Linked DNA regions of Xenopus tropicalis. The protein of the gene in region 2 binds, or shares a complex with, the protein of the main gene of each other region. Links are inferred from orthologs where the notes say so. Each region holds a gene or a part of one and is shown on either strand. Other genes may lie near its edges. The genes, in order: ube2g2 and amfr.

Evidence for each region.
Region 1: the proteins of amfr (region 2) and ube2g2 are in contact, whole or in part, in an NMR structure (PDB 2LXP), measured with the Homo sapiens proteins. The link is inferred for Xenopus tropicalis from reciprocal best matches to the Homo sapiens genes AMFR and UBE2G2. Residues at the interface, in NP_001135.3 of Homo sapiens: Ser574, Ala575, Arg578, Gln579, Met581, Leu582, Arg585, Lys586, Leu589, Leu590, Ala593, Arg594, Arg596, Phe597, Leu598, Lys600; in NP_003334.2 of Homo sapiens: Tyr13, Leu16, Thr17, Pro20, Gly23, Ile24, Val25, Ala26, Gly27, Pro28, Met29, Asn30, Glu31, Glu38, Leu40, Met42, Glu45, Glu50, Phe51, Val53, Val159, Gln160, Leu163, Gly164, Leu165.

What each region holds. Positions count from the first base shown.
Region 1 is NC_030685.2:55,076,550-55,081,044, reverse strand, and holds the start of ube2g2 (ubiquitin-conjugating enzyme E2 G2), read left to right. Parts: upstream 1-1,551; 5' UTR 1,552-1,582; coding exon 1,583-1,625; intron 1,626-4,495. UniProt on the Homo sapiens protein: Accepts ubiquitin from the E1 complex and catalyzes its covalent attachment to other proteins. In vitro catalyzes 'Lys-48'-linked polyubiquitination. Involved in endoplasmic reticulum-associated degradation (ERAD).
Region 2 is NC_030680.2:51,701,118-51,704,939, reverse strand, and holds part of amfr (E3 ubiquitin-protein ligase AMFR), read left to right. Parts: intron 1-360; coding exon 361-551; intron 552-633; coding exon 634-737; intron 738-1,412; coding exon 1,413-1,547; intron 1,548-1,653; coding exon 1,654-1,728; intron 1,729-2,125; coding exon 2,126-2,310; intron 2,311-3,079; coding exon 3,080-3,236; 3' UTR 3,237-3,822. UniProt on the Homo sapiens protein: E3 ubiquitin-protein ligase that mediates the polyubiquitination of lysine and cysteine residues on target proteins, such as CD3D, CYP3A4, CFTR, INSIG1, SOAT2/ACAT2 and APOB for proteasomal degradation.

The DNA.
Region 1 (4,495 bases), on a different chromosome or scaffold from region 2:
ACGTGACTTAGGGGCACATTTACTAATCCATGAATCCGAATTGGAAAAATTCGGATTGGAAACGAATATTTTGCGACTTTTTCGTATTTTTGCGATTTTTTCGTCGCTGTTGCGACTTTTTCGTAGCCGTTACGATTTGCTCGTATATTGTCGCGACTTTTTGTATTGAGCGCTCGTAAACGGCGGGCAAAACTTTCAGACTTTGCATGATTTTGGAAGTCTCCCATAGGACTCAATGGCACTCTGCAGCTCCAACCTGGCCCAAGGAAAGTCACCCATAGGGCTCAATGGCACTCTGCAGCTCCAATCTGGCCCAAGGAAAGTCTCCCATAGGGCTCAATGGCACTCTGCAGCTCCAACCCGGCCCAAGGAAAGTCTCCCATAGGGCTCAATGGCACTCTGCAGCTCCAACCCGGCCCAAGGAAAGTCTCCCATAGGGCTCAATGGCACTCTGCAGCTCCAACCCGGCCCAAGGAAAGTCTCCCATAGGGCTCAATGGCACTCTGCAGCTCCAACCTGGCCCAAGGAAAGTCTCCCATAGGACTCAATGGCACTCTGCAGCTCCAACCTGGCCCAAGGAAAGCCTCCCATAGGGCTCAATGGCACTCTGCAGCTCCAACCCGGCCCAAGGAAAGCCTCCCATAGGGCTCAATGGCACTCTGCAGCTCCAACCTGGCCCAAGGAAAGTCTCCCATAGGGCTCAATGGCACTCTGCAGCTCCAACCCGGCCCAAGGAAAGTCACGATACTGAAGCTTGAATGAATCTGAAACTTTCGTACTCTGCGCGACGGCTACGAAAAAGTCATAACGGCTACGAAAAAGTAGTGACAATTTACGAAAAAATCGCAAAATACCGATCATTACGAAAAAAATGCATTCGGACTCTTTTCGGACGTTCGTGGATTAGTAAATGTGCCCCTAAGTATAAACTCCACTGACCCCCAATTAAAATACTGAATTATTAGCACATTCATGATTTTTACAACTGTTATGAACTACTTATGACTAGTCATTGGGCCATAGCCTTATATAGCTTATGTAAAAACAGACGTAACTTCCATATCAAGCAAGCAATGACAGCCAGAGCAGGGGCAGGTAGGTGGGTAGGGGTTAAACCTATAGCAAACTTCACTGACCCACAATATACTAAATGACTTATTAGAACATTAATCAATGGAACGCTTTATACAAACTGCTTATTATAAAGAAACATCAGCTGTTTAAATTGGAAAAGTAGGAAAAAAGCTTCAGCAGATTTACTGCAAACCATTTATTGTGGGTAGTGGTAACATATCTAGTTTCACCATACATACACACATATCTAGTGTCACCATATGCTGCCACACCAGGACATCTAAATATGGTACTAACCCATTCTCCCTTTAAAATTCAAGGCACTCAAACCCCTAGAAGTGAAACTGTGTCCCTACATACAAAATGCCCGCACACGGCGCTTCTCCTGCGGTTTGTGCTTATTTATGCAACGAAGATGACGCCGCGTGTCACGTGTGCGTGACGTCACAGAGAGGCCAAACATCCGCTCGGAAGCAGCTGCTACTGTGGTGCTGGCCGCCTGTCAGTGATGGCCGGGACGGCGTTAAAACGCCTGATGGCTGAATATAAACGTAAGTGCACATGTTAGGGTGGTGAATGGTAAGGAATTATAGTAACACTTCAAGGTATTTTAGAAAGGATAAGGGCTTTCCTTCTGCTGTAGTAGGGACGTCGGTCACGTGATGTGCCCTGCTCAGCGCTTACGTGTTGCTGTACTTTGCGGTAGTTACAGCAGTAGGCCAATTTCCTAGCGCCGCCGCCGCCAGTGACGCTGTGCTTGGCGTATGTACAAAGACAGTGTTGGTGCAGAAGCAGCGCTATTATGTTGTGTATTAGTTACACTTCAGGGTCTTGGGGTTTCTGTAGATTCTCAGTTAATGTTGTTGCAGCTCAGTGTTCTTATTGATTTTTGCAGGGTTCCAATAATGTGTTCATATTTATCCTGACTATAGCTAGGGGGGATCGGCAACCTCATGTGTTTTGTATATCTGGGACCTACACCAAAAGGCAATGTGTACTTAGGGTTGGCACATTTTCTGAGAATAAAATACCAGCCTTCCTATAATTTTAGCTTGTTTCCTAATAGAACATTGGCATCAGGCATCATTTTTACATCTAGGCCGGTACAATAAGGGCCAGGTGGCAAACTTATGGGGCAGATTTATCAAAATGTGAGCTTAATACATAAAAACTCACCCGCATTCTATTCATTCCTATGGGATTTTTATAAGCAAAGTTATTTATCAAAGGGAGAAATTTAGAACTCACCAATAGATAAATATGCTTCTACAAATCCCATAGGAATGAATAGAACATCAGTGAGGTTTTATGTATTAAGATGGTTAGAATAATAGTTTTTCCAGAGGAGATAGGAGCGTGGCAACCAATCAGATCTTAGATTTTGATTTCTAACTTGTAGGTGACTGTTCAAATCAAATTGCTGATGGTGATATTTATCTCCAGTCTTAGTAAACATGCCCCTAAATCACAGTATATTTCGTAACAATGGAGGGATCAATATATTACAGTATAGTTTAGCTTTTCTCTATACAGTTTTGACCTGTTTCTGAGCACTTTTCGGTATATTTTACAGGCCCTGACCCAGTGGAGCTTACAGTTTTAAGTTCCTTTTCACAATCAGACACAGACATTATTGTCAGTTTTGTCAGAAGCCAATTAGGGTGAAGACACACAGAGCTACTTAGTAGCAGCTACTTGTCATGGCTACTAAATGTCAGAAAATACCCTGCCATAGACAATATTGAGAATTGCCTCTGCTAAAACACACATAGAGACAATTATCAGTAAATGATCAGCTTTGTCTATTTCTGTAGCTGTGACAAGTAGCTGCTACTATGGATGGGGAAAAAATTAGTAACGCGACAGTAAAATTCGCCACATGGCGCTTAATTTGACGGTGGCATCGTTTTCTATGATGCGCTTGTGTCGGCTTTTAACGTCATAGAAAGTGACGCCCCTTTAGCTGCTGCTAGTGACTCCATGGGGCAGATTTATCAAAACACGAGTTCGAATCTCGAAAGGGAAAAATTCGGATTGGAAACGAAAATTTCTGAAGATTGCAAATATCACGAAAATGCTTCCGAAAAAATCGTATTAGTCACGATAATATGGTATTGGTGATCCGAAAGTCACAAAATTTTCGTACCAAACGATTGTAAACAGCGGCAAAACCGATCCGATTTTTTCGCGCTAAAAATACGAAAAAGTCGCCGAAAATATGCTCATGAAAAAACAGTAAATGTGCCCCCATGTGTCCTCACCCTTACACTTTCAGAGTTCTCTTCTAAGCACTTTTGCAACTTAAAGGGGAACTCTGGCTTCCAAATCACAATTTGTTAAAGAGCCCCTAATATAAATCTTAAATAAACAAGGGACTTAATGATCCCAGAAGTAACAAACACATTAGAGGTTACACATGATAAAATAGCAATCTTTATTCACCAATACAGCCAACAAATATTAAAAAACCCTAACCTATAAAACAATTAACAAACGCCATTCATGGAAGGTTCCCTTCTTTCCCCCCTAAGCACACCTATAAGTAGGATTGTTAGGAACACCAGTATGTAATAACGTTGGATCAACGTTGGGGTATCAACTCTATCAAATTTATCAAAGTACGATTGTTTCCGAATACGAGTTTTCGTACTGTGTGTATTTTCTGCGTTTTTTGCTTCCAAAAACATGCACAGGAGGTTCAAAGTCAGAAAGGTTTTCCCGCCCTTAACGATCGATCGGATACAAACATTTTTGTGACATTTCCGATCATCAGAAATTATCGTATCTAATCCGAATTTTACCCATTTCGGGATTCGAACTCGTACATTGATGAATCTGCCCCTATGTTTCACAGATGCAAATGCATATCTCAAAAGTCCAGCTGGTGCACTCAGAAAATTTGGTTAGTGCACTCCTGTATGCCAAACATTTAAAGGTGAAGTCCGTGATAATATGCACTCTCAGTTGAAAAAAGTTCACAGTCAGCGAAAGATATGTATATGTATACAGATATCCTGTTCTCAAATAGAAAATAATTTTCTTAGAACATGTTACAAGGCGTAATACTTATCTATCACCTCACTTCACACAGGAGAGCATATCCAATAATGATATTAACAGACCAGGGTCAGAAACCCACAACGATCCGCATGCTTGAGTCCAGAACTGTTCTAAGAAAATGTTGTTCTGCTCATGAGAAAAGTCATCTGATCTCTTTCCTAAAGAAAGCAATATAAGAAAAGTTATGTTTTCCTTCTGAACATGATCTTCCCAACTGTGCAGTTGGAAACCTTAGCTGGCAGTTTAAAACCAAATTAATAGCTCTGAAATTAAAAAAAAAAAAAAAAAAAAAGTAAATTGCAAGGGATTAAAGATGCACCCTGAGAATTTCTCCTGCTTCATTTGTCAGCTTGTTCTGTCT
Region 2 (3,822 bases):
AATAGACATATGCAGAAAATGTTAGTGTTAAAATGTAATTCTTCAAATCCTATGGGCATATTTTTGTAGTTTAAAATAATTTTGGTACTAATAGTTTACTGTATATGTAGTGTATACAGTTGTGAACGTGCACTGTTATTTTACAGTGGACCAGAGCTGGTGTAATCAGTAAGGCAGAGGAGAATTTCCTGAATAAAGAGCAGAGTGAAATGTGCCTCTTTTTAAAGAGTACTACTAAATGTGGGGTTAAAAAAGATCTTTAAATAAGATTTTCTTGCTGGCAGAACCAAATAAACCACAGCAGAAGTGTGAGGCAGAATTTTAAAACTGACTGTGTATCCTACTTACTTTTTGTCTTAGCTCATGCCTCCGATCCTGGCTGGAGCAGGACACGTCATGCCCAACTTGCAGGATGTCCCTTAACATGGCTGATGGCACAAGAACTCGTGTAGAACAGCAGAGGGAAAATCAAGATCAGAATGCGGTACCACTGGCAGTTACAGAAGGACGGCCACGTCTCAACCATCATAATCACTTTTTCCATTTTGATGGTAAGAAGTAGCCTGATTTTAAGGTAGACAGAAATCGGTGGGAGTTGATTGAATTTAAGCCTATATCTTGATTTTTCTTTAGGTTCTCGATTTGCTAGTTGGTTGCCTAGCTTCTCAGTGGAAGTAATGCATACAACCAACATCCTTGGCCTTGCACAAGCAAGCAACTCTCAGCTGAATGCTATGGTAAGTAGTTGACAGTGACTAGCTCCTGTAAGGTTACTAATGTACCATATAATTAATCAGAGCATTAAAGGAGAAGGAAAGGCATTTTGGCATTTTATTGTCAATAGATTAGTCACAATAGTGCAAGCAAGAATGCTAAATTTCTTCTTTAGAATAAATACCTGAGTAAACAGCCATTTTAGCTTGGTCTCAGTAGCATTTGTGCTGCAGCTCTGTATGCTGGTAGCTCAGATAACACATCACAGTTAGGAGGGGGATAGAGAGATGATAGGAGGGGAGGAGATGAAGGGATAGAGGAGCAAACTGAGCTGGCTTGTGCCATGCCCTCAAGGATTATTCTGAGAGAAGGAAGTCCGACACATAAGATCATGTATACAGGATAAAAAAAAGATCTGGTAGTTTTTTTTTCCGCTGAGCAGCAATTCTGTAAGTGTGTATGGCCATATTTACATAGACCTTTCTGATAAAGCTTACTTCATTTTTACCCTTCCTTCTCCTTTAACAGTATTGGTCATTACATTTTAGTGTGGTTGATGTTGACTATAACATAAACTTACTGCACATATAGCTGTTTGTTACAGTGTTATAAAAATGATAATTCTACTTTTTTTTTTTTTTTGCTTGTGATCTGTAATATCAATGTACTGGATATCTGTCTTACATCTACTTCTTTAGGCCCGGCAGGTTCTAGATATGTTCCCACAAGTTCCGTATCATTTGGTTTTGCAAGATCTGCAGCTTACGCGTTCTGTTGAAATTACCACTGATAATATATTGGAAGGACGTATTCAAGTTCCTTTTCCCACACAGGTTAGGCAACAGTAGTTACTGTCTTTGAAATTACATTGAAAGTGATTACCTTTAATTAAATCAACCTAATCCCACATTTTAAAATAGTTTATATTTTCTCCTGCAGCACCAAGACGATGTCAGATCTGCAACAGAAACATCTGAAGTCAGTGCACAAGAAGAAAGCAGTACTGCCACACAGGTAAGTAAGTTAGATGGCTAAAAGGGACTTGGCACAAAGTCCAGGTCATATATTTTAGAGATGGAAATGCTCCCTTCTTTATGGGACCGCTATGCCACCCATGTACATAAAAAAGGTGGTGTCATGGTCTTCAACATCTATATGTCTCTATATGTATACGTCTCCTTTTTAAAATGTTGGAAAGGTAACAATTCTTTGTATAATGAACATTTTAATGTTCCCCTGTATTTTTAACTGAGATGTGATTATGTCATCGGAACAACCATTCAATGTCCAAAGTATAAAAAAATTACTTTACCATGCAAAAAGCAATGTTGTGTGCTCTGTCCATGTTTTTTTCAATATTGTCAGAACAACAAAGAACATCAATGCCTCTGTTATTTTACATCTTACACAGACTGAGCGTGTAAATTTGGATTTGAGCCCAGGTCTTGAGGAATATGAGGATTTCAGCGTAATCGAGGCTCAAGTGAGTGATGTCGAAGAATTTGAGGCCAGAGGCAGCAGATTCTCCAAATCTGCAGAAGAGAGGCAACGGATGCTTGTCCAGAGGAAAGAAGATATGGTTCAACTTGCACGGAGGTAGGAGATATGAGTGAACTATTAATAAAGGGATCTTCAGTGAGTAAAATGATGTAGGATAAATACATTACAGGAAAGCAAGATTCAAGTCAAGCTGTTGTAATTATATATATATAATTAGTTAACTGACTTCAGTAAGGTGACTTTAAATCTCAGATGCTATTTTGCCTGTCACTACAACATCTTTTAAAAAGATTTCTACATCTTCACTCTTTTTACTATTTTTTTTTTTATTTTTAAGTTTTTCTATGCATAAAGCAGTCTGACCCTCACTGTTGAGAAATCTATCTTATGCCTCTTTAATCTTTTCTTCTCCAATTTAAATAATGGCAGTTTAGCCATCCTGTCTTTATAACACAGATGCTATGAGTGAGTTTTGGGCCTGCTGTGGATAAGGGAGAAATACCTCTCCTCTCAGTCTTTTAGTGATGGGTGATTTAAGCCTCGTGCTTTAAGACAGATAAGACTGAGATACCTGTTTGCATGCTTGAGATGTAAATGAAATGCCGGAAAATGGTAGATGTGCAATTAGTGGGAGTTAGGGAGTGAGCACAATTGGGGGTCACCAATGGGCTGCTGTAAAAAAAACCCTGTTTAGGTGAAAAGATGTGATCAGATTCTTCAGTTCAGGTCAATAATTGGGCAACTTTGATACTAACTTTGAAGATCTATATCATCAGGGCTGGTTATAGTATAAACACCATACTTCATTGTAGAGAGATATTTCAATGCTTTATAAGATAAACTAATATTTATGTTCTCCTCTTAGACGTTTTTTAAACAGGACTTCAGAGGAAGACAATCCTGACTGTTCATCAGAGAGGGGTTCACACACAGACAGTTCTTCAGATTCAACGACTGTGCGGAGGCGCATGCTGGCTGCAGCGGCAGAAAGAAGAATTCAGATGCAACAGTCCCCACAGTAATCCCAGTGTGCATGGACACAACCTAACCTTGAGCCTTGTACAATGGATGCACACATTGACACTTTCTTACTTTGCTCCTTGTTCATGAGCTGTACCAGCTCACAGAGAGAATTTAATCTTTTATAATCTTATTTTTTTGCAATATGTTTAGAATAAGCAAAGCCATTTCTTGGTTCTAAAGGCAAGTTTGCGCATGTGATCCTGGATCATTCTAACTCTTCTCTGATTGGCATCCTAATGAGGAGGAACCGTCAGTATTTTAAGCAGAGTAGGTGCCAGAATATTAAAGTAACATAGGGTTTTTTTTTTTTTACAATGATATTGACTAACTAACATAAATGTTCAGAGAAATGGAACTGGATGAACAACATTAAATGATCTACACCAGGTAGTTGGAATCTGTTTATATTACTTTAATAGTTTTCAGATGTCAGATCAATTTTTATCAAATTTCTGTTGTCATAAAACAATTGCATGAATACTGTGTTGCTTTATCTAGAGTGCTTCAAGAAGGTTTGGTGATAATACTTATTTTTTAGATGTTATGCCAAATGAAAGTGATTTGGAAGCGTTAAACTGTTCTGTA